7 linked regions of the Macaca fascicularis genome follow. The protein of the gene in region 6 interacts with the protein of the main gene of each other region in a biochemical or structural test. Links are inferred from orthologs where the notes say so. Each region holds a gene or a part of one and is shown on either strand. Other genes may lie near its edges. The genes, in order: MUC1, STAT3, ENO1, LDB3, TAMALIN, SRC and KIT.

What was found.
Region 1: the proteins of SRC (region 6) and MUC1 form a complex in vitro, tested with the Homo sapiens proteins (2 studies listed by BioGRID, with this or other methods). The link is inferred for Macaca fascicularis from reciprocal best matches to the Homo sapiens genes SRC and MUC1.
Region 2: the proteins of SRC (region 6) and STAT3 form a complex in vitro, tested with the Homo sapiens proteins (3 studies listed by BioGRID). The link is inferred for Macaca fascicularis from reciprocal best matches to the Homo sapiens genes SRC and STAT3.
Region 3: of the proteins of SRC (region 6) and ENO1, one has a biochemical effect on the other in vitro, tested with the Homo sapiens proteins (4 studies listed by BioGRID). The link is inferred for Macaca fascicularis from reciprocal best matches to the Homo sapiens genes SRC and ENO1.
Region 4: the proteins of SRC (region 6) and LDB3 interact in a test that uses a peptide from one of them, tested with the Homo sapiens proteins (2 studies listed by IntAct, with this or other methods). The link is inferred for Macaca fascicularis from reciprocal best matches to the Homo sapiens genes SRC and LDB3.
Region 5: of the proteins of SRC (region 6) and TAMALIN, one has a biochemical effect on the other in vitro, tested with the Homo sapiens proteins (2 studies listed by BioGRID and IntAct, with this or other methods). The link is inferred for Macaca fascicularis from reciprocal best matches to the Homo sapiens genes SRC and TAMALIN.
Region 7: the proteins of SRC (region 6) and KIT form a complex in vitro, tested with the Homo sapiens proteins (3 studies listed by BioGRID and IntAct, with this or other methods). The link is inferred for Macaca fascicularis from reciprocal best matches to the Homo sapiens genes SRC and KIT.

What each region holds. Positions count from the first base shown.
Region 1 is NC_088375.1:105,950,493-105,954,618, forward strand, and holds the start of MUC1 (mucin-1), read left to right. Parts: upstream 1-1,326; 5' UTR 1,327-1,388; coding exon 1,389-1,446; intron 1,447-1,919; coding exon 1,920-3,361; intron 3,362-3,460; coding exon 3,461-3,516; intron 3,517-3,664; coding exon 3,665-3,801; intron 3,802-3,946; coding exon 3,947-4,068; intron 4,069-4,126. UniProt on the Homo sapiens protein: The alpha subunit has cell adhesive properties. Can act both as an adhesion and an anti-adhesion protein. May provide a protective layer on epithelial cells against bacterial and enzyme attack.
Region 2 is NC_088390.1:63,447,410-63,451,456, forward strand, and holds the start of STAT3 (signal transducer and activator of transcription 3), read right to left. Parts: upstream 2,801-4,047; 5' UTR 2,794-2,800; coding exon 2,492-2,793; intron 1-2,491. UniProt on the Homo sapiens protein: Signal transducer and transcription activator that mediates cellular responses to interleukins, KITLG/SCF, LEP and other growth factors. Once activated, recruits coactivators, such as NCOA1 or MED1, to the promoter region of the target gene.
Region 3 is NC_088375.1:225,992,734-225,996,233, forward strand, and holds part of ENO1 (alpha-enolase), read left to right. Parts: intron 1-247; coding exon 248-317; intron 318-1,198; coding exon 1,199-1,332; intron 1,333-1,942; coding exon 1,943-2,165; intron 2,166-2,932; coding exon 2,933-3,130; intron 3,131-3,500. UniProt on the Homo sapiens protein: Glycolytic enzyme the catalyzes the conversion of 2-phosphoglycerate to phosphoenolpyruvate. In addition to glycolysis, involved in various processes such as growth control, hypoxia tolerance and allergic responses.
Region 4 is NC_088383.1:59,967,723-59,971,985, forward strand, and holds the start of LDB3 (LIM domain-binding protein 3), read right to left. Parts: upstream 2,801-4,263; 5' UTR 2,741-2,800; intron 2,631-2,740; 5' UTR 2,608-2,630; coding exon 2,515-2,607; intron 1-2,514. UniProt on the Homo sapiens protein: May function as an adapter in striated muscle to couple protein kinase C-mediated signaling via its LIM domains to the cytoskeleton.
Region 5 is NC_088385.1:58,841,959-58,846,191, forward strand, and holds the start of TAMALIN (protein TAMALIN), read left to right. Parts: upstream 1-1,433; 5' UTR 1,434-1,487; coding exon 1,488-1,733; intron 1,734-2,188; exon of another isoform or gene 2,189-2,328; intron 2,329-3,658; coding exon 3,659-3,708; intron 3,709-4,233. UniProt on the Homo sapiens protein: Plays a role in intracellular trafficking and contributes to the macromolecular organization of group 1 metabotropic glutamate receptors (mGluRs) at synapses.
Region 6 is NC_088384.1:93,453,257-93,457,530, reverse strand, and holds the start of SRC (proto-oncogene tyrosine-protein kinase Src), read right to left. Parts: upstream 2,801-4,274; 5' UTR 2,618-2,800; intron 1,345-2,617; exon of another isoform or gene 1,229-1,344; intron 372-1,228; exon of another isoform or gene 253-371; intron 1-252. UniProt on the Homo sapiens protein: Non-receptor protein tyrosine kinase which is activated following engagement of many different classes of cellular receptors including immune response receptors, integrins and other adhesion receptors, receptor protein tyrosine kinases, G protein-coupled receptors as well as cytokine receptors.
Region 7 is NC_088379.1:79,167,226-79,170,725, reverse strand, and holds part of KIT (mast/stem cell growth factor receptor Kit), read left to right. Parts: intron 1-139; coding exon 140-244; intron 245-327; coding exon 328-438; intron 439-1,651; coding exon 1,652-1,802; intron 1,803-3,500. UniProt on the Homo sapiens protein: Tyrosine-protein kinase that acts as a cell-surface receptor for the cytokine KITLG/SCF and plays an essential role in the regulation of cell survival and proliferation, hematopoiesis, stem cell maintenance, gametogenesis, mast cell development, migration and function, and in melanogenesis.

The sequences.
Region 1 (4,126 bases), on a different chromosome or scaffold from region 6:
TTCTCCTGCCTCAGCCTCCTGAGTAGCTGGGATTACAGGGCCCGCCACCACGCTCAGCTAATTTTTGTATTTTTTAGTAGAGACGGGGTTTCACCAACTTGGCCAGGCTGGTCTTAGAACTCCTGACCTCGTGATCCACCCGCCTCGCCCTTTCAAAGTGCTGGGATTACGGGCGTGAGCCACCGCGCCCGGCCCGATCTGCCTCTTAAGTACATAACGGCCCACACAGAACGTGTCCAACTCCTCTGCCCACGTTCCAATGTCCTCTCCCACATATCTCAGTGCCCTTTCCACATACCTCAGGACCCCACCCGCTTAGCTCCATTTCCTCCAGACGCCACCACCACGCGTCCAGGAGTGCCCCCTCCTAAAGCTCCCAGAAGTCCACCATGCTGTGCGTTCCTCCCTCCCTGGCCACGGTAGTGACCCTTCTCTCCCGGGCCCTACCTCCCTCTCGCGGGCTCTCGCTGCCCCACTTAGGCAGCGCTGCCCTTACTCCTCTCCGCCAGGTCAGAAAAGCTCCTCAGCCGGCGCGGTCCAGCCCCGCAAGGCTCCTGGTGACCACTAGAGGGCGGGAGGAGCTCCTGGCCAGTGGTGGACAGTGGCAAGAAAGGACCCTAGGGTTCATCGGAGCCCAGGTTTCCTCCCTTAAGTGGAAATTTCTTCCCCCACTCCCTTCTCAGGAGAATGCCAAGGAGGGAACCCAGGCTGCTGGAAAGTCCGGCTGGGGCGGGGACTGTGGGTTTCAGGGTAGAACTGCGTTTGGAACGGGACAGGGAGCGGTTAGAAGGGTGGGGCTATTCCGGGAAGTGGTGGGGGGAGGGAGCCCAAAACTAGCACCTAGTCCACTCATTATCCAGCCTTCTTATTTCTTGGCCCCGCTCTGCTTCAATGGACCCAAGGAGGGCAGGGAAGTGGAGTGGGAGACCTAGGGGTGGGCTTCCTGGCCTTGCTGTACAGAACCTCAACCTAGCCGTCTTTGTTCCCCATTCCCACCTTAGTTGTTGCCCTGGGGCTAAAACTAGAGCCCAGGGGCCCCAGGTTCCAGACTGCCCCTCCCCACTCCACCCTGGAGCCAGGGAGTGGTTGGTGAAAGGGGGAGGCCAGCTGGAGAACAAATGGGTAGTCAGGGGGTTGAGCGATTAGAGCCCTTGTAGCCTACACAGGAATGGTAGGGGAGGAGGAGGAACAGGTAGAAGGTAGGGAAGGGGGAGGGGGCGGGGTTTTGTCACCTGTCACCTGCTCCAGCTGTGCCTAGGGCGGGCGGGCAGGGGGGAGGGGGGCCAGGGGGACTGGTATAAAGCAGCAGGCGCCTGTGCCCGCTCCACCTCTCAAGCAGCGCCTGCCTGAGTCTGTTCTGCCCTCTCCCCACCCAGTCCACCACCACCATGACACCAGGCACCCAGTCTCCTTTCTTCCTGCTCCTGATCCTCACAGTGCTTACAGGTGAGGGGCACAAGGTGGGGAGTGGGCTGCCCTGCTTAGGTGGTCTTCGTGGTCTTTCTGTGGGTTTTGCTCCCTGGCAGATGCACCATGAAAGGCAAGAATTCTGTCTGTGCCAGAAGGAGGGAGAGGCTAAGGGCAGGCTGAGAAGAGATGCTCCCCCCAAAGAGTGGGTGCCAGGGGCAAGCAAATGTCCTGAAGAGAAGTCTAGGGGGAAGGGAGTAGGGAGAGGGAAGGCTTAAGAGGGGAGAAATGCAGGGGCCAGGAGCTGAGGCCTGTGGGCAGACAGAAGGAGGCTGCTGCAGGGAAGGAGGCAGCCAACCCAGGGGCTGCTGAGGCTGCCCACTCCCCAGTCCTCCTGGTATTATTTCTCTGGTGGCCAGAGCTTGTATTTTCTTCTTGCTCTTATTTTTCCTTCAACCCAACCCTATTAGTTTAACTTATCACAGCTGCCACAGCCCCTGAACCCACAACAGTTGTTACAGGTTCTGGTCATACAAACTCTACCCCAGGCGGAGAAAAGGAGACTTCGGCTACCCAAAGAAGTTCAATGCCCATCTCTACTAAGAATGCTGTGAGTATGAGCAGCAGACTCTCCAGCCACAGCCCCGTTTCAGGCTCCTCCACCACTCAGGGACAGGACGTCACCCTAGCCCTGGCCATGGAACCAGCCACAGGTTCGGCTACCACCTTGGGACACAATGTCACCTCGGCCCCGGACACCAGTGCAGCCCCGGGCTCCACCGGCCCCCCAGCCCGCGTAGTCACCTCGGCCCCGGACACCAGTGCAGCCCCGGGCTCCACCGGCCCCCCAGCCCGCGTAGTCACCTCGGCCCCGGACACCAGTGCAGCCCCGGGCTCCACCGGCCCCCCAGCCCGCGTAGTCACCTCGGCCCCGGACACCAGTGCAGCCCCGGGCTCCACCGGCCCCCCAGCCCGCGTAGTCACCTCGGCCCCGGACACCAGTGCAGCCCCGGGCTCCACCGGCCCCCCAGCCCGCGTTGTCACCTCGGCCCCGGACACCAGTGCAGCCCCGGGCTCCACCGGCCCCCCAGCCCGCGTTGTCACCTCGGCCCCGGACACCAGTGCAGCCCCGGGCTCCACCGGCCCCCCAGCCCGCGTTGTCACCTCGGCCCCGGACACCAGTGCAGCCCCGGGCTCCACCGGCCCCCCAGCCCGCGTTGTCACCTCGGCCCCGGACACCAGTGCAGCCCCGGGCTCCACCGGCCCCCCAGCCCGCGTTGTCACCTCGGCCCCGGACACCAGTGCAGCCCCGGGCTCCACCGGCCCCCCAGCCCGCGTTGTCACCTCGGCCCCGGACACCAGTGCAGCCCCGGGCTCCACCGGCCCCCCAGCCCGCGTAGTCACCTCGGCCCCGGACACCAGTGCAGCCCCGGGCTCCACCGGCCCCCCAGCCCGCGTAGTCACCTCGGCCCCGGACACCAGTGCAGCCCCGGGCTCCACCGGCCCCCCAGCCCGCGTTGTCACCTCGGCCCCGGGCACTAGTGCAGCCCCGGGATCCACCGCACCCCCGGGCTCCACCGCACCCCCAGCCCACGATGTCACCTCGGCCTCAGACTCTGCATCAGGCTCAGCTTCCACTCTGGTACACAGCACCACCTCTGCCAGGGCTACCACCACCCCAGCCAGCAAGAGCACTCCATTCTCAATTCCCAGCCACCACTCTGATACTCCTACCACCCTTGCCAGCCACAGCACCAAGACTGATGCCAGTAGCACTCACCATAGCACAGTACCTCCTTTCACCTCCTCCAATCACAGCACTTCTCCCCAGTTGTCTCTTGGGGTCTCTTTCTTTTTCTTGTCTTTTCACATTTCAAACCTTCAGTTTAATTCCTCTCTGGAAGATCCCAGCACCAACTACTACCAACAGCTGCAGAGAGACATTTCTGAATTGGTGAGCATCAGCCTTTCCTTTCCCATGTTCCCCTGAAGCAGCCATCAGAACTGTCCACACCCTTTGCATCAAGCCTGAGTCCTTTCCCTCTCACCCCAGTTTTTGCAGATTTATAAACAAGGGGATTTTCTGGGCCTCTCCAATATTATGTTCAGGTATAGTTCTGGGTGTGGACTCAGTGTGGTGGTTGGAGGGTGGGTGTTGGTCATGACCTTAAGGAGGGACTGGTGCACTCAAGGTTGGGGGAGAGTCCTGAGCCAGAGCTGGGACCTGTGGCTGAAGTGCCCATTTCCCTGTGACCAGGCCAGGATCTGTGGTGGTACAATCGACTCTGGTCTTCCGAGAAGGTACCACCAATGTCCACGATGTGGAGACACAGTTCAATCAACGTAAAACGGAAGCAGCCTCTCGATATAACCTGACGATCTCAGACATCAGCGGTGAGGCTACTTCCCTGGCTGCAGCCCAGCACCATGCTGGGGCCCCTCTCCTTCCAGTGTCTAGTTCCCCACTTTTTCCTTAGTGCTGGCAGTTAGAGGGGCACCTCCTCTGGGAGACTGCCCTAACCACTGCTTTTCCTTTTAGTGCGTGATGTGCCATTTCCTTTCTCTGCCCAAACCGGGGCTGGGGTGCCAGGCTGGGGCATTGCGCTCCTGGTGCTGGTCTGTGTTCTGGTTGTGCTGGCCATCGTCTATTTCATTGCCTTGGTGAGTGCAGTCCCTGGCCCTGATCAGTGCCCACCCCCCCGCCGACAGAAAGCACTCC
Region 2 (4,047 bases), on a different chromosome or scaffold from region 6:
TAGCTGAATTCTGATGGTAAATTATGCTGACCAAAAACAGTTCCTCACTTCCCAAGTTAGACATAGCAATTAGGTAGAAAAATAATCTAAGCAAGCTCCATTTGTATTTCTTTTTTCACGTGTTTATTGAATATTTACCTCCCATAAAGTCTTTCAGCCTGTTGGTGGTATTTTACTGTTCAGATATATGTTAGAATTTCACTGATACTGGGTGCGGTGGCTCACACCTGTAATCCTAGCACTTCGGGAGACGGAGGTGGGCGGCTCACGAGGTCAGGAGTTCAAGACCAGCCTAGCCAATATGGTAAAACCCTGGTCTCTACTAAAAATACAAAAATTAGCCGGGCGTGGTGGTGCGCAACTGTAGTCCCAGCTACTTGGGAGGCTGAGGCAGGAGAATCACTTGAACCCAGGAGGCAGAGGTTACAGTGAGCCAAGATTGCGCCACTGCACTCCAGCCTAGGCAACAGAGCAAGACTCCGTCTCAAAAAAAAAAAAAAAAAAAGAATTTCACTGATACTTTTCACAAAATATACAGAAGGCGGCACAAATTCCACCACTATGGCACTCTGCCGCCTTGGGCAAGTGTCTTGATCCTTTGGCCTCAATTTTCTTATCTACAATATTAGAGTAATTGTTATGTGAACTACCTACCTCACAAGTCCTTTGTGGGTCAATTCATAACTGTGCTGTGGGTATTTCTTTTTCTTTCCTTTCTTCCTCCTTTCCTTTCCTTTCTTTCTTAGAGACGGGTTCTCATTATGTTGCCTAGACTAGACTCTAGACCCAATTCCTGGCCTCTCACCATGTTGCCCAGACCAGACTCAACTCCTGGACTCAAGGAATCCTCCGGCCTCAGCTTTCAAGTAACTGGGATCAGAGGTGTGCACCACCATGCCTGGCACTGTGGATATTTTTAAGTGATTATTCTTCCCAAATGAACTACATAAAAAACAAAAGATTCATGAATTTACTAATGGTTCTTTGTGATGGATGTGCTAATACAGAGACTAAAATCAAGGCTCCAACCTCTAAAACATTTTTTTTTTTTAATTCCAGACTTGTTTCCCCATCCCACTGTGCAAACTGAACAAAAACTGGGCTAGCACTCCCGTCTGGAACATGTAATAAGGAAATAAATGTGCTGACTCAGAGAACACAGACATATTTAATATAAAATAAAATAGAAAACTGGCTGAATCAAGTCATAGCACAGTCTAAATCCACATATAAAAGATTGAGATGATTTTCTGCTTTGCTTTATTCAAGCCCAATGCTTTATCAGCACAGCCAGCCAAAAATTTACAACCCATGCACAGACTACGTAAACCTTTAGTTGCACATACAGTAAGACCAGCAGGTACACACTATACACATTTTTAACAAAAAACAATGACTAACCACTGATTTTGTCACCACACTTACAACGACCTGATATGGCACAGGGTGATGTGTATCAAACATGGAAATACCAACTTGGGCGACGGTTTGAATCTTGTTAACTTCAGTGCAACCACACCCCCCTAAATGCAGGTAAACTTAGCACACATGGTTTTGTCAAGGCCAGCCTGTCTTTGTTTCCCTCTCCTCTGCATTTACCCAAGATCTTGGCTCTGAGACACAGAACTCCCACTCTCGATTGGTTCATTCCGTCCTATGCAATTAAGCAACACCACAATCCAGTAAACGCAATGGCTCAATTATTTATCTTCTGGCCGACTTTACCAGGTATTTGGAAAAGAACATTGCCAAGAGATTTATTTATCTCTCTAGAGCTGGCTTGACGGGTTGACGGGGATTTTGTCTTTTTTTCCCCTCTTTTTTACATGGCGGGGGCGTGAGGGGAGCATAGTTTAACCTAGAAAAAGATGGAAGGGAATTTAGAAAGAGTACCGGTCTGTCAATTTCCCTACAGGAAACTTGATTCTTATGCAATAAAGCCTACCCGCGACCAGCCAGCCCGTGAGGCTGCAGGGGACAGACACACCTATTCCTGCCTCCAGAAGGGCACAGCTGGCTCCTGAAGGAGCGGGAACAGGGCAAGCGGAGGAAGTGGCTCAGAGGGAGCCGCCGGCCAGGCGGGGAGGAGGCGCTTTCCGACCCCCACCCGCGCCGGTGATCCCCGCCGGCGTGACAGTCGCTCCGGCGGCCGGAACGTCCCCAGGGCTCCAGGGAGCAGGAAATCGGGGGACTGTCCCTCACTCCTGCCGCCGCAGCCGAGTGCGCCCTCGCCCCACGGTGCCCCCTCGGGCGCGTTCTCACTGTTTCTCCGAAGAACGAAACTTCCCTCCAGCGCCCCGAGTCCCTTCCGAGGCCCGCTCCTGTCATCCCGAAGAGTCTTCCCTCAGGGCGACCCTCCGCGTCTCCTCATCTCTCCCCGCCCCACTGCAGCGTCCATCACAAAATCCCCAAGGTCCCAGAGGCCCCCAACCGCGGCGGCGCCCCCAGGTCCCCAGGCCTCCCCGACGGCCCCACCCTGCACCCCCTTCACCTGTTTCTCCAGCAGAGGCCGAGAGGCCGGGGCTGCGCGTGCGCCGGGGGCGGGCGACGGGGCTCCCTCAGGCCGGAGGGCTTATCCGAGCCGAGGGGGAGAGACAGCGCCGAGCCGGGGTGCCTGTCCAGGATCCGGTTGGGGCTTGTTCCCTCGGCTGCTACGTCGGAACCCCCGGCTCCCCCTCCCGGTCTACGCCGCCGCAGCTCCGGAAACCGCTGAATTACAGCCCCTTCAGCCAATCCCCGCCCAGCCCCAGCCTGGCCGAGGCACGCCGTCATGCATAATTCATGAACGGCCATTTCGCTCGGCCACCCAGAGGTCCCAGTGCGTGTGCGGTACCGACAAAGCCCCGCCCACTGACCAATGAAGAGAGCAGCTAGGAGAAAGGGCGGAGCCAAGAGAAGACTGATACGGCCCTGTGCTGGCTGTTCCGACAGTTCGGTGCTCCTCCCTCCGCCACAGCGAGGGAAGAGCCGAGGACTTGGGCACAGAAGCCCGGGGGGAGGGAGGGAAGATGACCGGAATGTCCTGCTGAAAACTCAGCTGAGTTCCTGGCAGTGCGTGACGTCAAGGCACTTTAAATGCCCCTGATACAGCTCCCTCCTGTCCGCTCTCCCTTTTCCCGGCCCTTGGCACCACGTGGTGGCGAGATTGAGAGCCTCTTACCACGTGGGAATCAGCCAGTTAGACAGTCCCCAGGTATCTCCAGATCCTCTGGGGACCCAACACCTGAATTGGGTTCTGGGGACAACAAAAAGAACATGAGTGACTCCGCCTGCTTTGAACTTCAGTTTCTGCGTGAGCAGGGACACACACACCCGGAAACATGACGTGGAAATAGAGTAAATACTAGAGTGCGTGGGGAGAAATAGTAGATTTAACCCCGTCCTCCGTTCCATCACTTCAAGCATCAAACTCCGACCAGCTAGCCCATTGGCCGGTACAGGCGAATGCAGAAGACGGTGTATACGAAAGTTGATACGTGTAGGGCTTGACATTTTTATGCGTCTGAATTGAAATACATGAAATGTTCCGCCTTTTTCGTTTCCACCTTGCCTACTTGGTATGCAAGTTTTGCTGAATTGAAGCCAGTGGTTCATAGGAAATGTAGACATTTTGCCTTTCATAATAGAGGATGAACTTTGCATAATGGAGTGATTTCTGTGTATGTGCTGATACTATCAGGGTTTTTAATTTTTATTTTTTTAGGGTCTTTAAAAATATGTTATTAATATTTGTGTTTGTTTAATACGAACCGGTATAAAGACAAAAATCTATAAAGGACCCATTATCTCACTGCTCAGATAACCCCTGACATTTTTTTTTTCAATGAAACTAATACATGTTCCTGTTTAGAAAATGCAGACCGTTCAGAAAGGTAAAAAATTTTAAATGAAAATCTTTCCCTACCCCCATCATTCCTTCTCCCCAGGGATAGCTATTCTTATTAATTTGTAGTGAGAAAAATCAATGACTCTTAACCTTTGAAGGGAGTCACAGATCCTTCTGAGTGTTTGAAGGAGACTAGATTCTAGCCCCAGAAACAGCACAAG
Region 3 (3,500 bases), on a different chromosome or scaffold from region 6:
AAGCATTGTGTCTGAGAGCGTCCATCTCTGTTTCATTGTTGGGTGAATGAAACACCATCAAAGCAAGCAGAAGGCAGTTTTTTGTCTCACCATTGATTTTTGTCCTCCACTTTTTTTGCTTATAAAACAAACATCACAGAATTGATTTTTATTTTACATAGTTCCAAAGTCAGATTCCATGGTAGGGGAGCAAAGGCTGTGCAGATAAGAGTGACACCAACCCCTCATTCTCTCCTCTCCCTCTTAGAAACTGAACGTCACAGAACAAGAGAAGATTGACAAACTGATGATCGAGATGGACGGAACAGAAAATAAATGTGAGTGGCCCGAGGAGGCATCTTTACTGGGGAAGATCATGAAGTCTCCTAAAGACTTTAACAACTTTCAGGAAGAGGTCCATGATCTTAGTGACAAGCTAAATGAGCCTGTCGTCTCCTCCCATTTCTTTGCGTCACTCTTAAGAAATCACACTTTTGGCCAGGCGTGGTGGCTCACGCCTGTAATCCCAGCACTTAGAGAGGCCGAGATGGGCGGATCACGAGGTCAGGAGATCGAGACCATCCTGGCTAACATGATGAAACCCCGACTCTACTAAAAAATACAAAAAAACTAGCCGGGCGAGGTGACGGGCGCCTGTAGTCCTGGCTACTCAGGAGGCTGAGGCAAGAGAATGGCGTAAACCCGGGAGACAGAGTTTGCAGTGAGCTGAGATCTAGCCACTGCACTCCAGCCTGGGCGACAGAGCGAGACTCCGTCTCAAAAAAAAAAAAAAAAATTTATACAGGCCTTGTGGCCTTGTGGCGGGCGCCTGTAGTCCCAGCTACTCGGGAGGCTGAGGCAGGAGAAGGGCATGAATGGGGGAGACGAGATCACGCAACTGCACTCCAGCCTGGGCAACAGAGCAAGACTCCATCTCAAACCAAAAAAAGAGAAATCACACTTTGGAGTATCAGGAGCAAAACCAGGTGATAATAGCCTGTCAGTTCGGTTACTCGGAACAGCTTTGCTCCTTATAATGAATTCAGCAGTTCCTATAGTTGGCCAGAGCTGGGCTCTCTCTTAGAGGGGAAAAGCAGTGGTGAGTCCACAGGGAATGCTATTTGCATTTCTAGTAACAGTGTGATGGGGGAGGAGATGGCAGGAGAAAAGCCGGTGAGTCAGAAATGACTTCATTCCACTCGGTTCTCTTCTGTTCTAGCTAAGTTTGGTGCGAACGCCATTCTGGGGGTGTCCCTCGCCGTCTGCAAAGCTGGTGCTGTTGAGAAGGGGGTCCCCCTGTACCGCCACATCGCTGACTTGGCTGGCAACTCTGAAGTCATCCTGCCAGTCCCGGTGAGTGGTTTATTGGAACTTCCCAAGCAAGGAGTTGGGGGTTTCAGCTTGCTCTTGGGGACCAAGACCTCCTGTGCCTTGATCTCTTAACACATGTGACTCTCCCAGCACAGCTCTGCCCCTTGTTAAGTGTGACCTTGAGCAGGTAATTCAACTTGCCTGTGCCCCAGGTCCTTCATTTGCAGTGGAGGCTCGGGTAGGAAATGACAGCAGTACTTTCCTTGCTAGGCTGTGAGCATTAGCTGACATAGTCACTAGCGTTTCTCCTGATGATCATGAATTTGCAGTTATCAAAATAGACCTGGTATGAACTGGTTGCAGTAGTGCACACCTGTAGTCCCAGCTAATCAAGAGGCTGAGGCAGGAGGATCACTTGAGCCCAAGAGTTTGAGACCAGCCTGGGCAAGACCAGTATAGTCAGATCCTGTCTCTAAAAACATGAGTCAGAGACCTGGTGAGCATTTCATGGCCACCCTGACCCCACTGATGCTCCTCAAGGAGCAAGTCTTGGGCTCATCTGTGAACTAGATGGGGATGGTAGGACCAGAGGGGCCTGTTGCCCTGTGGGGCTCTCTGGGCCCGGTGCCATGCTTCTCTGTTCTCTCCCCAGGCTTTCAATGTCATCAATGGCGGTTCTCATGCCGGCAACAAGCTGGCCATGCAGGAGTTCATGATCCTCCCAGTCGGTGCAGCAAACTTCAGGGAAGCCATGCGCATTGGAGCGGAGGTTTACCACAACCTGAAGAATGTCATCAAGGAGAAATACGGGAAAGATGCCACCAATGTGGGGGATGAAGGCGGGTTTGCTCCCAATATCCTGGAGAATAAAGAAGGTAAAGGCGCTGGGGAATCCCCACCCACCCACCCAGCCCTGCAGCACCAACTCCCTCTGTGCAGGGGTTGTCCACACCTGCCTCTGTGGAAAAGGTTTTCATTCCACCTGTAGTTTGTAAAGATCAAGACCCTTCAAACAGGGTTTTAAGGAGGGAAAGGGGAGCTTCATTTGATTTTACTTATTTTTTTCTTTCTTTGAGACGGAGTCTCTGTCGCCTGGGCTGGAGTGCAGTGGCGCAATTTCTGCCTCCTGGGCTCAAGCAATACCTAATAGCTTGGGGAGCCAGGTGTCTGTCCATCTGTCCTGCTGGCAGGACAGCTTAGCCATGGATGGCAGACCCTGAGCCTGAACTCTCAACAGCACAGCCTGGCAGGAGGATCCTGCCACCCAGGGCTGCCTCCACTGGGCTTTCTCTTGGATCCCGCTTCAGCTCTATTTAAGGCCTGTGTCTTGAGACAGCTGATCTCAGCTGGTTACTGTAACTGTATCTTGGCCAGGACAGCTGTTCCTGGGCACTAAATTTGGGAGCATTTGTCAGGGAGAAAGGCTACTTTCTTGGAAGCTGTGCTGAATTTCCCATTTAGTCTACACCAGGAGCTCTGGCCCATGGTTTCTTGCCCCAAAGCAGAAAAAAAGTAACTGACGTTGTTGAAACTACTGGTTGGGGCCTGAACACCTCTTGACCTTTGTGTTACAGTCCATGTGTAACAGCTGTTGAAGGGAACCTACCTGTTTTCCAAACCTGTTGCCACCATCTCTTCCCAGGCCTGGAGCTGCTGAAGACTGCCATTGGGAAAGCTGGCTACACTGATAAGGTGGTCATTGGCATGGACGTAGCAGCCTCCGAGTTCTTCAGGTCTGGGAAGTATGACCTGGACTTCAAGTCTCCCGATGACCCCAGCAGGTACATCTCACCTGATCAGCTGGCTGACCTGTACAAGTCCTTCATCAAGGACTACCCAGGTGAGTGTTCCTGGAGTGCCATCTTCCTTTCCTGCCACCGACCTGTAGCATGGCAGCTGGAGCATCTGGCTGGCTGGGGATGGGGAGGGTGTGTCTGAACCTCTGGCTCCCGTGGGGGATTCATCAGGGGGCTTCCCCCCAGTTGTACGTACACAGGGCTTCACAGAGGTTCTTGTGTAGCTAAGGAGCTCAGGTGCCAGCAGCGGTCTGTGCTCCATTAGACAGGCGAGGGAACCAAGCCTTCAGAATTAGAATAGCCACTTGTTAGAGATGTATTATGCTTCCTGTGAGCTGGGAATATTCATTTTAGGCTCTGTGTGTACACAGGATAGGGACTGTGACTTCTACAGGAGAGGAAACTGATGGGCTG
Region 4 (4,263 bases), on a different chromosome or scaffold from region 6:
AGCACATACCTGCAGCTGAGAGGGGACAGGTCTCCCCAGTGCCTCTCTAGTAGTCCCAGTCAGAGGGGTGAGCAGGCCAGCATGGGAGTTGGGGTGAGAGGACACAGGAGATCCACCCATGGCCATCCCTGTCCTGTGAGCAAACGCCAGCCTCAGTTTGCCAGGCTCTGAAGTGAGGTAACAATCCGAGCCTCGCTTGCCTGCCCACCCCACAGGGTCACACACTCTTGCCTATGGTGCCCTATGGCACAGGCTCAGGTCCTGGCTGGGGTGGGAGTGGAGTTCCTCCAGAGAGCTCTGGCCATGCCTCCCCCGTAGGGGGATGTCCCTGGTGCAGAAGGGCCCTGCGAGCCCCAGCAGTAAATCCTACAGCCCTGGTGGGATGGCAGGGCTGTGTCCACAAGGCCTGCCCTGCCAGCGGCACGGAACCAGGACACAAGCCCAGGCTATCAGCAGCCCACCACCAAAATTTCTCAAGAGGTTCCAAGCCCCGGGAAGGGCTCCAGTTCCCAGTCCAGCCTGCTCCATAGCTCAGGTGATTTGGGGTATGCCCCTAAAGGAAGCCGAGAGGCCATCGTGCCCATCCCCCAGTGCCCTGCCTGGGCTTCGGGTTCTATTTTTAAAAGTCCCCCCAGTCATTGGATCCAGCACATCCCTGCATACCCCCTCCCCGGAGTAAGGACATTCCTCCTGTTATCTAGCTTAAGGCCTCTGGGCTGCCATTTAAGCCCCTGGCTGGCTGGGGCCAGGTGGCACATAGACCCTGGGTGAAGTCATTGGCTATCCTGAGTGCCAGTGAGCCCAGTGGCCAATTTGCACCCATAGGGATAGGGCAGGGAGCACCAGCAGGAGGCCTGGAGATGGTGGAGCTGGGGGAGATGTGGGCTCAGTCTCAGGCAGGGGAGGCCACAGGGCCCATGAGAGAGCACACAGAGGCTCCACCTTGTACAGGAAGGAGTCCTGCAAGCATGGGGGTGGGGAGCTGTACAGGGCAGTGGGAAATCCACTGGGGCTCACATGCCCGCAGGTCGCCACCTCATGCAAAGTGTGCAAAGCTGTGGGTTTCCAGGACCCTGTGGTCTCCAGGGCAGTAGATCTGGAGGGGTGGAGTCTCCAGGTTAGAACAAGCCACATCTCCAACTGAAGGATGGAGGGCAGGGCCTGTTCCCTGTGCCAGAGCCAGGCCAGCACCCACCCTGGAAGCATGTGGCCTCTATGGCTATTATAAGGCTCTCACAGCATCCCTGGGTGGGGCTTCTACTTCTGGGGTTCCCCCAAGTACCCATGGAACCAAAAACAGAGACTACTTCTCCAGTGGTGGCGTTGGCTCCTGACCCTCTGCCCAGGCTCCCTGGTCCCTCTGCCAAGCACCTTCAGGCCTTGCCCACTTCAGTGCTTCCCCTCCAACCCCTTCCTCCAGCCCCCAGGCCCAAGGCAAGTCTCAAAGGCCCCAGAGAAGAAACTGTCCCCTTGTTCCCCTAGTGGGGCAGTAGCCCAGATACCCCTGCCCACCCACTACCCTCTGGTGACAGCCTGGGAGCCTCCCGCTCCTGCCTTGTGACCAGAACAGCACGGCCAGGGGCTCAGCCACCAGGCAGGGTTGTCCTTGCCCTGTATGCCTCACAGTTCATCCTGAGCCTTGGGGTCTTCAGCCCTGGGTCTACCAGTGCCTTGCCGGGGAGTCTCTTTGTTTGACAAATACTGACGGAGCGCCTACTACGGTCTAGATGCTGTTCCCCCGTCAGTCCCTGTTCCTGGAGTGCTTCCTTGGGAGCATGGCTAGCTTTCTGCCTCTCTGGTGTTGCTGTCTCCAGCCAGGCAGTAGAGTTACTCAGACAACCCGATGTTCTGTGTCATCTGCATTAGGCCATGCTGCTCCCCATCACAGACACTGCAGGACAGGGGGCCATCTCACCAGGCCCCAGCGCTTGCGGGGAACAAGTCGTGAGACAGACAAAGCAGCCACGGTGAATGGGGAGGACCGCCCAGCCCCATGAGCCAGGGTGCTGGTGTCTCAAGTTTGGGATGGAGCGGGTGCCCAGTACTCAGTCCAGCCCAGCCCCACGCTCTGACAGCAGGACAGCCAAGGTCAGCAGCCTGTTTGTCCATCTATCCAACTGCCCATCACCTGCCCTCTCCATGCTGGGAATGCTCCCTTCCCAAAGCAGCTGCCCACATCTAGGGAAATGCTAAAGGCTTGGGGGCACCCTAAGCCCACTCTAACAGTGAAGGGATCAGGAAGGCGCTGTACTCGGTCCAGCTACCTGCCTGCCTGCCTGAAAACTCAGCATTTTCTTCTCTGCTAAAAACACCTACCACCTGCTCATGGTGTCTCACATGCATAACGGGCCGGCGGGCTCCTGTGAGCAAATAGCTGTGGCTGAGACCAGAGGACCAGGCCAGTCCCAGGGGATGGGGCATGCTCTGCTTTCTGAGAGGCTCAGAAAGGACAGACAGACAGACACACAGCGTGCCCGCCCCGTCGGGTGCCAGGCTGTGGCAGGGTGCACTCACCCGGGAAATAGTGAGGGGCATGTTGAAGTCCTTGCCCCCCTGCAGACGGAAGCCCCAGGGCCCAGGCCCAGTCAGGGTCACACTGTAAGACATGCTGGTGCTGTCAGCGGCCGCCTCTGCAGACAAAGGGTAGAGAGGGTTGAGTGAGAGGGCACTCAGGCACTCCGCCTGCCCGGTCCACACCTCTGCCCCTGCCCCTGCCCCTGCCCCTGCCCCCCGGCCTTGCCTGCTCTGTCCCTTGCTGCCCAGCTGGGCTGCGTGGAGCTCTTGAGAGGCTCCTAAGAATAGCTGGGAGCGAATGCCATCGACACTGATATCTGCCCTCGGCTGCGCCCATAAATGGACTGTAACCCTACACTGTCCCGCCCGCCTGCGGCCTCCCAGCCGGTCCACCGTGACTCACACGGCTAATATAGCCCCTGGGGAGGGGTGTCCGGCACCCAGCACCCCCCAGGGGGAGGAAGGGGGACTAGCCAGGTTGGTGAGAATGCTGTGGTCTCCTTGCTCCTGTGTCCTCTGGAGAGCGGAGACACTCGCTCTTCCTGCTCCGTGGTACCCATCCTCTTGCTCAGAAGACCAGGGGTTGAGCTCCCTTGGGCAGGGGCTTTGCAGCCATGTGGTCCCTGCCCAGGATTCTGGGGTTGTGCTTTATCCAGTGTGGGGTCCTGGAGGTGGCTTGGCCTGAACTGAGCCTGCAGCTGGTCTGTGACTGGCCCAGGGTTGTCCAGCCATAAAAATGATCATAATAGCAGCAGCTCCGGGCATAGCCAGCCTCAGCATGCGCCCTTCACTCCCTGGGATCCTGAGAAGTTGCCACCTGGACCCACAGGAGACAAAGCTCAGGGAGGTTAAATGACTTCTCCAAGGTCACACAAGGAGTGGACCCGGGCCACACTGGAGCCCGGGCTGATTCTTACAGGATGCATGCCAGATAATGGGCTCCCAATGGCCACAGAAGCCTCCCAAAGCCCTGGTCCTGGGCAGCTGGCCCTCTGCCTGCACCCCTTGGCACAGGGTCTGAAAGCAGGTCTGAGGTAGGCCCATCCCCTCCAGACCCTCTGGGGGCCCAGCCAGTTATTCCTGGCTCTCCTGTCTTATTTGTGCTCTGGAAAACTTGACGGCAGCATGGAAAGCTCCAGCTGCCAGTGCCACACGCCAGGCCCCGTGCCCTTTGCGCAGGAATGGCAGGGGGCAGGGAGAAGGGAGGAGACGCCATTTGCTCAGCTGCTAGACACAGGGCCAGGAGGGGCACGGAGGGGGAAGCACGTGTGGCATGTTCAGCCTGTACCCCAGAGACAGTGTGTTCTGGGTGGGGGGCCCAAGCATCTTGGGACTTCTGCCAGTGTGGTCTTTGGGCCAACCCCTTCCCCAAGAAAGACCTCAGGCCCCTATGTGGTCTGGAGATAGATCAAGGCCCACTCTGGCTCCTTGGTTGGAGAAACTGAGGCTCAGGGGAGGCAACTGGGTTGGCTGCTTGCTGGCCCTCTTGGAGAGCTCTGGCTTGGACCCTGAGGAGTCAGTAGAGGCCTAGGTATGAGTCATTTCTCAGCTTCCAGCCTCACTCCTGGGGCCTGGCACATGCAAGGTGCAAGGTACGATCACCCATATTACGGGGTTGTTTTGTTCTTGCCCAAAGTCACAAAACTATCAAGCGGAAGAAGCCGGGAAGACTGTCCTTTCCCCCGCTTAATCACCTCCTTCATCCTATATCACGCAGCCCAGCCCAGGAGGCCAGCAGTCCATGGCCAG
Region 5 (4,233 bases), on a different chromosome or scaffold from region 6:
AGGGCCCAGCCAGTACCTGGCACAGAGCAGGGCTTAAATGTTGGATAACAGCACAGAGTGGTTAGATTGCAGGCTCTGCAACCAGGCTGTCTGGCTTTGAATCTCAGCTCTGCCGCTGAGTGACTTAGGGCAAGTTACTTATCTTCTCCGGGCCTCAGTTTCCTCATCTGTAAGGGAGGATAATGGTGCTTATTTCGTAGGGTTGTTATGAAGACCAAGTGAGTTAATGCATGTATGTAAAAGGACACACAGAACAAACAGTGTGCATTGCACATGGTAAGTGCTCAATAAATGTTAACTGTGAAGGCATAACAGATTTGGGAAGACTGGGGGAGGAGGGGACAGACAGGGGCACCGCATTGCCGCCTCTGCTTCTTGGTCGATGGGTGCTGGGACATGGAGTCCCCAGCTTGTGCTGCTGACGCCCTGTGGTGGCTAGCCGCTCTTTAGACACCAGACGCTGCCTTCCACTTCCTCCTCTCACTTCTTATTCGGGCACCACTGACGACAGAGACTTCGGCTGGGCCATTCCCGCCTCTCCTACCGCCTGGCAGCCATGGTAACAGCCTGGGGGATGGTCCCTACGATGGGGTCAGAGAACGGCTGAGCATGGCCATCCCCCCCGCAGCCCTGAACTCCGATTCGGCCTGGGCTCATCCCAACCTCCTGAGTCAAGTCCATAGTAAGCGTCTGTCTGCTGGGAAGGGGGATCTGGGCCTGGCATCAGGAGCTGAGGAAAGGTGTGTTCAGCAGGGATCACTCAAGCCCCTCGGAGGGGATAGGCCAGAATTAAGCCTACTGCTTTCAGGGTTTCCATCTCTTCCCTTTCTCCTAGACGTGGGAACAGGGGGCAGCCTCTTTCAGCTCTTCTGGGGCAGCTGTGTCAAGGGAAAATCCTGGGCCCTCTCACTCCCTGGGGGCTTCTGTGCAGAGTTCAGGGAGTCTCCTCCCTCCTCTGTCCGGCCTCCACCCCTACTGCTGCGCAGCCCCGCTGCCTCTCTCCCTGCCCTAGAGTCTCCTGCAGCCCCCTGGATCTCCTTGACTCTCCCCACCTCCCTGACTCCCCAGGCTTCCTACAGTGACCTCTTACCGTGCCCCGCTCCATGAATCGCCAGAGCTATCCTTACCTAAATGTCAAACCTTGCTCAACGTCCCTTCACAGACCCCTCCAGGTATCACGCAGCCCCGAGCCCCGCCCTGGGGGCCTCATCCCGCCCCCTCGCGTCCGCTGCTCGGTTTCCCCCACCGAGCGCCCAGCTCCCGCAGTTTCCCGGGCCGTCGAGCGCCGTGGGCGGGGCTCCAGGGCGGCTGCGCCCCGTGGGGAGGGTCCTGCGTGCTGGGGGCGAGGCCACCCGAGGCCGCTCCCCGCCCGCCCCCAACCCCGCCCCCCTCTCAGAGCCTATAAAGGGAGGTGACGGAAGGCTCGCCCGGCTGGCATCCCCGAGCGGAGCCACCGCCGTCTCCACCCGGCGCCCGGCGCCGAAGCCATGACCCTCCGCCGACTCAGGAAGCTGCAGCAGAAGGAGGAGGCGGCGGCCACCCCGGACCCCGCCGCCCGGGCTCCCGACTCGGAAGTCGCGCCCGCAGCTCCGGCCCCGACCCCGGGACCCCCTGCAGCAGCCGCCACCCCTGGGCCCCCAGCGGACGAGCTGTACGCGGCGCTGGAGGACTATCACCCTGCCGAGCTGTACCGCGCGCTCGCCGTGTCCGGGGGCACCCTGCCTCGCCGAAAGGTGCGTCCCCCGCCCGCCTTCAGGACCTGCTTAGCCCCACTCCGTCCCCCTACAGGGCCTGCTGACCCCGCAGTGCCCTCTCCTCGGCGTCCGCGGAGTCCCCCACCCACCTTCTTCCCCGCTGGGTGCCTCGACTCCCCCGCGTTCCCCGCTGCTCCGAAGACTGTGGCCCTCGCCTGCACACCGTGCCCAGGCTCGGTGGCTCTCAACTCCTCGCCCTATACGCGCCGCCCCATCGCGCCCCCTCTCTCCCTCCTTGACTCCTCCCGGCACCCCCCTTATCCTACTCGCTCCATCTGGCTTTCTGCTCCCCATGCCCCGCCTCCTCGTGGCCAGGTGTCCTGAATCCCCAGGATCCCCTCGCCCCAGGGGCAGAGACGGCCCTAGACAAGTTGAAGGTCTGAGAGCCCCCGGTGGGAGAGGTGGGCCGGTGGCCGTGCCGCGTGCGTTCTCACCCTGAGGAAGTGCGTGGGGCGCCGCTGACTCCGGAGAGCACACCCTTCCGAGGGGACTCCCCGATTCCTGGGCTCGGGGCCTGCCGCCTGGCCCCACGTCTGATGTTCGGGGCGCGAGGGCCACAGCTCCCTGGACTTCTGCCGGAACCGGACGTAGTGGGAGGGGTCGCAGGGAGCCCACGGGGCAGGAAGGATGCGGGCCGCGCCTACCTCGGAGTCTCCCCTCCGCCAGCCTCTTCCTCTGGCCCCAGGGGACCTGAGGCTCAGAACCTACACACCACCAGGTTAAGGAGAGGGGCCTGGTGGCCTTTCCTCACCCAGCCACCCTCCTTTGCCCCTGGCCCCCAGCTAGCCCCCACACAATGAACAGCTTGTTGAGAATTTGCATTTTATGAAAATCATGTTGAAAGACAAAGGGGTCTCTCTGTGCTGCCCAGTCCTTCCTCCCTGGCCATTTGGGAACTGTCCCCACCCCTGAGGCCAATCTGGTTCTGACCCTTCCCTTCCTTGCCTTGGGCAGCTTGGGGGGAGGGTTAGCAAAGGCACAGACCAGAAAGGCCCTGGGCTGTGCAGGCTCCAAAGGAAAGGGCTGCTCTGGGACTGGACCTCCTCCAAGGACCAAAAAGTTAGGGAGGGTAAGAGACTAGTTTATCAAGGACCCTGAAGAGACAGGAACCTTCATCTCTCATCCTTCCCCCACCCCCCTGCCCCAAAAGAACTCCCGATCTCGCTCCTTTAGTGAGACTTACTGACAAGTTTGACATCTAAGATGTTTTGTCCCAGAAAGCACAAAATGTATGACAATGGAGAGAGACCCAGGTGTAGCTGGGCACAGCTGGTCACCTGCAGCTGGGATCCACAACTGGTCCCTGAAACGGGCTGTACCTTAGGAGACCTGGCACCTATGTCCCCACATTCTGGCTGGGATTGCCAGCCCTTCAGGCCGGGGTCCCTGACCCTAGCCCTCCCAAGCCACTGTCTGTAGCTGAGAAATTAGATGGAGAGACCCAACTGGCAGAAGGTCCTCGGAGCACCTTGATAGGTGAGCCCAGGGGACACCTATCCTCTGAATCCCACTGGGGAAGAGCCCCTGCCTCAGCTTTGGGAGTCTGGATGGCCTGAGCCTCTACAGACATGGGCCCTCGGGATGGAGACCATTCTAGAATAATGATCTCCCCACCCACTGCCAGTGTGGAAACCAACAAGGGCTTAGAGGTTCATGGATCTGGAACCCAGGAGGATGGTTGTGTCCCTGCAATCTCAGGTATGAAGGTAAGGCCGTAGAGAAAGTTGGGGAGTGGTGCCAGTAGTGACACTTGGCAAATAGTTGTACCAGCACCAAAGCAGGTGTGGATGTGGAGTTGCAAGAGGCAAACAGGAAGTGGGTCGCTGTGTCCAGGGTAGCACTCTCAGCATCTGCTCAAGGACAGTCCTGCCTCACCTGCTCCTTCTGACCATCTTCCTGCCCAGGGCTCAGGATTCCGCTGGAAGAATCTCAGCCAGAGTCCTGAACAGCAGCGGTGAGTCACCAGCACCCAGCCCCTGCCATGGTCCAAAGGGGTGAGGTGCTGGGTTGGGCGGTGCCAGGACAGCATCTCAGCCTAGCAAGGGTAGTCATTCTCCTAGCCTTTAAGCATGGCTCCCCCGCTGAGAGTGAGGGGCAGGTGGGGGTGTGGGCTGTGTGAAGGGGGTGGCAGAGAAAGGAGGTAGGGACTTTTGAGTCATTAGGTGCTCTTCAACCCACCCCCAGTCCCTGCCAGTTACCCCTCCCTGGGGAGATCTGGATGAACGGATGTGGGAGGTGGGAGGGGGTGTAGGCAAAGCCTATGGGGAATGTCCTAACCCAGGCCTCCTGGGCTCCCCTGAGCCCTCCCAACCTTGGCAAACCCCATGGGCCCAGACCTTAGCCAGGCTGTGTCCAGCTGCTTGGGGCTGGCTACCCCTGCCTCCAGAATGTCAGTCCTCTTCTGGTCCCAGCCTGTGGCAGCCCTCTAAGGAGGGATCTGAGTGTGGGCAGAAGTTTCCCTTCTCTACTCAGTTTCCCT
Region 6 (4,274 bases):
AGCATCTACTACATGCCAAGCCTCTACCTGCAGAAGCGCTTAGAATCTTCACCTGAGGATTCTCATTTCACGTATGGGGACTTAGTGGGGCAGTCTCTTGGCCCAGGTCACTGGGCAAGACAAGAAGCCTCAGTGCCTTGACTCCCCAGCCAGGGGGCTGAGAAGAGGGTCTGCAAAAGGACCAGCCTGGCCCACCCTAGAAACCAAGTCTGATCCCAGCTGCACTGTGGCTGTGGCTGGGCCTGGACTTACCCCAGGTGACCCAGCAACCACTGCCCCAAATTGTACAGAGTCCATGAAGTTCAGGAGGCCTTGCCCAGGGGCACACACAGGCTCTGTCCACTCCTAAGTCCACCTGAAGGACACAGGTGCTGAAAGGATACCACAAAGGTGAGCCCCTTCTGTTCACCCCATCCTTCCACCAGCCCAGCAATTCCAGCCAGGCCCACCTGCCACCAATGAGGACCCCAGTTCAGAGAGGCAGGCAGTTGTCTGAGGACACACAGCAGGGCAAGTGGCAGCCCTGGTGCAGGACTCAAACCCACCCCCAATCCCAGCCCAGGCAGACAGGTGGACCTGGCCCGGTGGCCAACACCCAAAACTTTTGCCAACTTCTGAGCCGGCTGGTGGCTGGGCCTGCTCTGGGGCGAGGCTGGGGGCTGTGGGCAGTGGAGACTAAACGCAGTCTGGCCCAGTCCCTTCCAGGCCGGCAGCACCAGGCCCTACCCGAGGCCCCAAGAGGGCAGGGAGGTCCTGGTGGTTCGGCCTGGCGCCCTGACTCCGGGGCCCCTCAGCCTGCCCTGCCGAGCCCCTCCACCTCCCACCCTGGGCCGGGGGGCGCAGGACCGGGCAGCCCAGCCAGAGGCGGCGCCGACTGGCTCAGATTTCAGATTTGGCCTAGACCTGGCCCGGGGGCTAGGGCCCAGCTCACCCGCTTCTCTGGGGGATCCTATGGGGAGCACTAGCTGGAGGGGGTCCCCACGCAGCCAGGACCCCTGCGTCCCCCCGCCCAGTCCCCTCCCCCCGCGGCATCACAACAAAAGGCCGCGCTGGGCATGGCCCTGTGCGCCCGCCCGGCGCTCGGGTATCGCAGCTCGGCCCGGGGGGTGGGAATTGGGGGGTGGACAGGAGCCCCCGCGGGCCCGCGATCCGACCCAGGTGGTCCAGGGCGGGGGCTCCCCCGCGCTGGCCGGGACTGGGGGCCCGCGGAGGGGCGGGGGGCGCTCACCTGGGCCGGCGGGCGGGCGGGCGCACCGGCAGACGGACGCACGGAAGGGCGGACCGCGGGACGGCCGGCGGGTAGGGCAGACGGCGGCCTGGCCGCTCCGGCTCCCAGGCCGGAATGGATTCCGGGCTGGGAGAGACAGATCGAGAGAGAAAGGGAGGAGGAGGAGGAGGAGGAGGCGGCGGCGGCCCGGGGAGGGGAAGAGGAGGGAGGGAGCGCGCGAGCTGGGAGGAGGGGCCCGGCAGGCAGCCGGGAGGAGGAGGAAGGAGGAAGCGCGCGGGGACGGATTCCCCGCCGGTGACCCGGGAGAGACCCAGGCACGGCCGGGGTCCGGGCGGGGTGGGGACACCGGGCACAGAGGCCCCGCCTCCCACTCCGCCAGGGCGTCCCACCCCGCGGGCCCCATCCGCCCCCAGGCCAAAATGCCCTCCTCGACCCACCCACCCTCTACGCCCCAAATCTGCCTCTCCCGAAATCACAATTAGTAATAATATCAGCGGGCGTGGAGCGCCCGCTCTGGGCCAGGCGCCAGGCTAAGGTGCTCAGGTCGACTTCAGGGTTTAATCCTAACCACCACCTGGCCTGAGTGGCGGAAGATCGCCCCACTTTACAGATGGGGAAACTGAGGCACTGACAAGAACCAGGCCCTGGACTTTAACCTTGACCTGAGTTTCTCAAAGTGGGGGCTGGGGCAGGAGGGACAGGGTGGGGAGGAGCGACCTTTATTTTAATAGTTGTGGGTTCATTTTAAAAAGTGCGTAAGGAAAAAACATCCCTGGCAGCCCATTGGAAGTACCCTAGTTCCAGTTATTACTGCTTAGGAGGGGTTGGCCAGGGCATCGGAGTGGCACTCACACTTCCAAGTAAGTAAAGAGGCTAAGTATCTCTGAACCAGGGCAGGAAGTGTAGCAGAAAAACGGGACATTGAGGAAACGCTGCTTTAGGCCACAAAGACTCCCCATCACCCCCTGGCACAGGCTCCAGGGCTATCCTTTTGGGGCTGGGCACCCCACCCTTGGCTCCTCACCTGTCCTGGAATCCTAGCACAGGGAAAGGTGGACCTGGGTCCTGCTTTAAATATCACACCTGCCTCCATGTTCCTTCTTTGAAAGTTCTCCCATTTCACAGATGGGAAATTAAGGCCCAGCCAGGTCAAAGACAAATAGAAGCCTTTGCCAAGCTTCTATTCCCTGGGCAAAGGTCCCCACTGAGAGGAGCCGGGAGGAGCACCCTAGAATGTGGAAGGCAAAGACCTCTGGGTACAAAATACCTTCCAGGAGACCAGGAATGAGCAAAGCCTTACTCTACACTGATCTAGGTTCGCATCTAGGCTAGCTGCCCCTCTGTTGTGGGGTGGACAAGTCCATCAGCTTCCCAGCCCAGCCCCCTCACCTGTAAAACCGGAGTGAACGTGGCCAGAGAAGATTCCTGGGAAGGCTGAAACTGACCAGTGTGAGGATGGTCGGGTTGTGCTAGATGAATAGTAGCTCTTCCGGTGATAAACTGAGGCCAAAGGGGAAAGGGGCTGCTTGAGGTGCCACAGCCAGTCAACAGCAGAAGCCAGGCGAAATGGCTGCCCTTGTTTGCAAGGCTGGCTTAAAGATTAACCGCAGCTTCTCAGGGCTAGGCGGGCCCCCGGCTGGAGAAGCAGGTTTCTCAGCCCTCTTCCATTCCTTAGACATGTCTAAAGGCCTTTACTGGCCGTACGGGGCTCGGGGGGAGGCAGGTATAGTCACCCAGTGACACGCTGGAGCTGGCCCTTGCCTACTTGCAAGAACCGACTGTGCTCATCTCTTCCCAAGTCCATATTCAAGAATGTCACACTGGTTAGCTCCATGTCAGCCACAGTGGGAGTATTTACCCCTTGGACATCAGAATACGCTACCAATGAAGCCTCTTTTTTCTTCCACAGAGCTGGTTGTTCAATATGTACCAGCACATCACTAAATTCATCCCCAGGAGTTCAACAGAAAATTCTGGGCTTTTCGAGAACTGGGATGACAGAGAGCTTAAAAGTACAGATTTTGGACCAGACCCAGGTTCAAGTCTCAACTCTGCCACTTTGCAGATAATGTAAGAAGCCTCAGTATGCCAACCTGAACAGTGGGCTAAAGATATCACAGCCCCCAGAAGACGCACGTAAGGATGAAATGAGGTGATGCCCGCTCAGCACATGTGAAATCTCATTCTCATTCATACCCTACACGCTCTTATCAGAGAGGAGGCAACTCAGACAAGTAAGGGTTCTGCAGGCAGATGCAGCTTCGCACCTGAAGCTACCGCGGGCTTCAAGGGCCTGGCTCAGTGGCTGAGGTTCTCAGGAGGATGTGGCCAGCACAATGGTTTCATTATTGAGCGTTTGAAGCGCTCTTTATTTTTAACCACCCCTCTGGGTTTTTGCTCAGGCTGTAACCCCTGCCAGGAATGCTCAGCCCCTGTCCCTGGCTACCTCGCCTTGTTCTTCAAAGTCCAGAGTAAATGCCACCTTCTCCACAACATGCTTCCTGACACACCCTGATGGAGGCACGTGCCAAGTCCATTCTGAGTGTGTCTGTCCCCACCCTGAAGGCAGTGACCAAGGCCTGGCCCATGCCCAGCACAGAGCAGGCACTGCCCAGTTGGCCAGGCAGCACACACTGACTTAGGACCTACAGACAAGAGTTCAAGTTCCAGCTCTTCCCTTCAGTGACTATGTGAACCTGCCTTCTCTGGGCCTCAGTGTACTCATCAGTAAAACGAGGGTAACAACCCTGGCAAGCTCCAGGATTATGCAGTTGGGAGTTGCGGGTCTGGCCTGGTGGACAAGTGACTCTTTGTGCAAATTATTTTGCTTAAAACATTCTTTGTTGGTAAAGCAGCAACTCACTGCTTAATTCCTGCAAATCATCATTAATGGACAGCAAGCATTTATTGACTACCAACTGTATACATGGCCCCAGACCAGTCTTAGAACACCAACAGGAACCACTTCCCAACCCAAAAGCACCCAGCAGATGATAGATGCTACTGACATCAATATTGCTGAGATGGTGAGTGCTGGTCGTATAGT
Region 7 (3,500 bases), on a different chromosome or scaffold from region 6:
GGCATAGAGAACATTGTAGGAAAATGTCTCTAGACAAAATTGTTTTTAATTCCTTTATTGATTTTGGAACTACATAAATGATCCTTCAATTCCACCACCAGCACCACCACCACTTACCTTGTTGTCTTCCTTCCTACAGGGAAAACCCTGGGTGCTGGCGCTTTTGGGAAGGTTGTTGAGGCAACTGCTTATGGCTTAATTAAGTCGGACGCGGCCATGACTGTCGCTGTAAAGATGCTCAAACGTAAGTTCCTGTATGGTACTGTGTGCGCTTGACATCAGTTTGCCAATTGTGCTTTTTGCTAAAATGCATGTTTCCTATTTTAGCAAGTGCCCATTTAACAGAACGAGAAGCCCTCATGTCTGAACTCAAAGTCCTGAGTTACCTTGGTAATCATATGAATATTGTGAATCTTCTTGGAGCCTGCACCATTGGAGGTAAAGCCATGTCCAAACTGCCTTTTATTGTCTGTCAAGTTATCAGAACATGACATTTTAATATGATTTTGGCAATGCTAGGTTATAAAGTGCTTGGAAGATTTTTTACCCAGACTATTGTTCTCTCTTGCTAGATTTTGTTTTCCTTATTGTTCTTAAGAATGCAGGTTTTAATTTTATCATTATGGGGTAGAACAGCCCAGGACATATACTAGTTATTGTCGTGTTTGTAACATCAACAACATTGGCCTCTTGTATATCTTATCCCGACCAGAAGGCTTCTCTTATCTTGTAAGCTTTATATATTTCTTGATCATATTTAGCCACTGAAAGGGTTAATATTAATTTGCATACTATAATTTAAAATAGGCCCCTAAGCCTACTGGTTCTCAAATATACACCAAATGAGGCAAACATTTCACTTCTGTAAAAAATAAGTTTCCAATTCGAAGCCTTAGTTGAGGTTCCCATCGAGGATGTCTGTGATGTTCGCAGAAAGTATTTCAGTTGAAAGAAACAAAGATGTGTAAAATGAGCTGTTTCTAGAGATCCATGGTAAAGTTGACAGCTTTATATAATGTCTTCAAACAACCCCCATAAATGTTGCTTCACCACATCATGAATTGTTCATGAGAAAATTTCTTTCCTAAGTTAATTAGTTGCCTGTTACTTCCAAATTACAGTTTTAAACATTCATAACACCAAAATTTTTTTCAACTAGTAGTGCTCAGAACACAGGTCATTTTAGGTTTTCACTCACTTTCCAGTCTCGTCCCAGCTGGCTGCTCCATGTGACTGATTTTCCCACTATGCCGCAGTTTGTGCCTTCGTTATTTCCATAATAACGTTACAGCGAGTGTGTGAAGCCCTGCTGTAAACAGAAGTGAATCAAAGGATTCACGTAGGAAGCTTGATAATAGTAGAACCTTTGAAAGCAGTAACTTCTGTCTGTCAAATCAGCAATCACGCTTGGCCCCAAATACTAATGTCATTTGGAAATTCAGGTTAAAAGAGACTTGCTTGTTTTATGTTACTCCACATAATGCTGCTTTTTTGATAAGCAGTGTTAATATATAGGATTGTATTGGGACTAAGTAGGCTTATCCACTGAAGCTGAATATTAATGGCCATGACTACTCTTGGGTATTTTTATGGGAGGCAGAATTAATCTATATATCTCACCTCTTTCTAACCTTTTCTTATGTGCTTTTAGGGCCCACCCTGGTCATTACAGAATATTGTTGCTATGGTGATCTTTTGAATTTTTTGAGAAGAAAACGTGATTCTTTTATTTGTTCAAAGCAGGAAGATCATGCAGAATCTGCACTTTATAAGAATCTTCTGCATTCAAAGGAGTCTTCCTGGTAAGACTGATTTACATAAATAGTTAGCTGTTGACAGGCAGTTCATGGGGTCATAAGGGTTTGCAATCAAGGCTGATTCTTTAAAAAATGAACTGAGGTACTCTGAGGTATGAAATCAAAATTATTAAATCATTTAAATGTGATTAACAGTTTAGAAAGTTCAAATTGTGTTTTTAAAGATTCAAACTGTGTTAAACCTAGATTTTTGCTGATTTTTAAAAAATGCATTTTTAGTTTTTTTCTACACTTTAGTTTCACGCAACTGAATGAATTCTATTTCTGTTTCTCTTACGGTTCTGTCCTGCATGTATTTCCATTTATACCGTTGAGCTTGGTACTGTATGCATGTTTCCAGTGAGATACTGTTTATAGGGGAAATGCTAAAGCCTCTCAAGTTGCCACAATAAAGTCCCTTTAAAACCTTTAGCAGAATGACAAAGAGCTCTGAACTTATCTCTACATGTAGGCTTTTTGCTATTGACCTCTGGATTATTCCTATATACCTTGCCTCTTGCCCCTTTTAATTCATCATGCTATTAAAAGTCGTAACTATTCCAGCACGTTTTTAAAAATTCTGGACATTATTTTCATCTCTTTCGTCATTGATGCCATTCTGAATTTGAATCATGTATAAAGAGCTTCGAGTTTGATTTACAACCAGAGAAGAATTCTTCTCATACCTTGCCTATTCTTTCTTTGGAAATGCTGTTAAGAGCCACCATTTGAGAAGACTTCCTGGATGTACCCAGTCCAACAGAAGTCATGGTTATTTCACCCAGTCCCCTATACTGTATATTGCTGCAGTTGTGTGGTAGATTTTTCCTAACCTTTTTATGCACTTTATATCCACTGCATCTTGCGATGACAAGACATTGCCTCCTGAACTCTTAACACCAGGCCCTCAAGGAGACCTCAGTAAATGTTATTGATGGGCAATTACCTCTTAAAGCCATTTTCTGTACCTCTGACTGAAGTTTAAAACCACAGGTGAAACTTTTATGTTTTTTTAATCCTATAAACTTGAGTAATGTAAAGTGGTAGTAGAAACTGTACAAAACCACTTTTTGTTAGTTTCTCCTGGGCATGTGCTCATTATATGAAGAAACCCAATGAGCCATTTTGCTTCTTTCCGAAACCTTGGCCCTATATATATCCTTTAACTTTCTGATATAATGGCCTAAATTGTTCAATCCTGTGTGATGTTCTTTGTGCTTTGGGATCCCATATGGGATTGGAACCACCAGCACACTCTGAAGGAGATTGTTGTCATGGTGTTTCTATGCTAATCAGAAGCAGGAAGTACTAGAAATCTTGAAGAGTCTCCAGCCAAATGTTGCAGACTGAAGAGGTCCAGATGGTTCAGAAAATCATCCAAATTATTGGTGTTTATCTGAACCAACTTGATTTTTTTTTAAAACCTTTTTCCATCAGTCACTATATGTTAACGATCTCTGCCTCCCCCATAACACATCTTGGAAGCTCTTCTTTGTCTTTCTTTCATCTTGTCTCCTGGGGCTCATTTAGAGAGTCTGAGGTGATACAGGATAGCATATTTGGCTCTCTGTCTCCCATTAAATTCATTGTGTCAAGAGATGGGAAATTTCTAACCTGAGTCCTCTATATGATTAAACACAAAAAGGACACCTAGTTTCTGGGCATGGACCCCAATATCAAATATTAAAAAGTCATATCTTACAG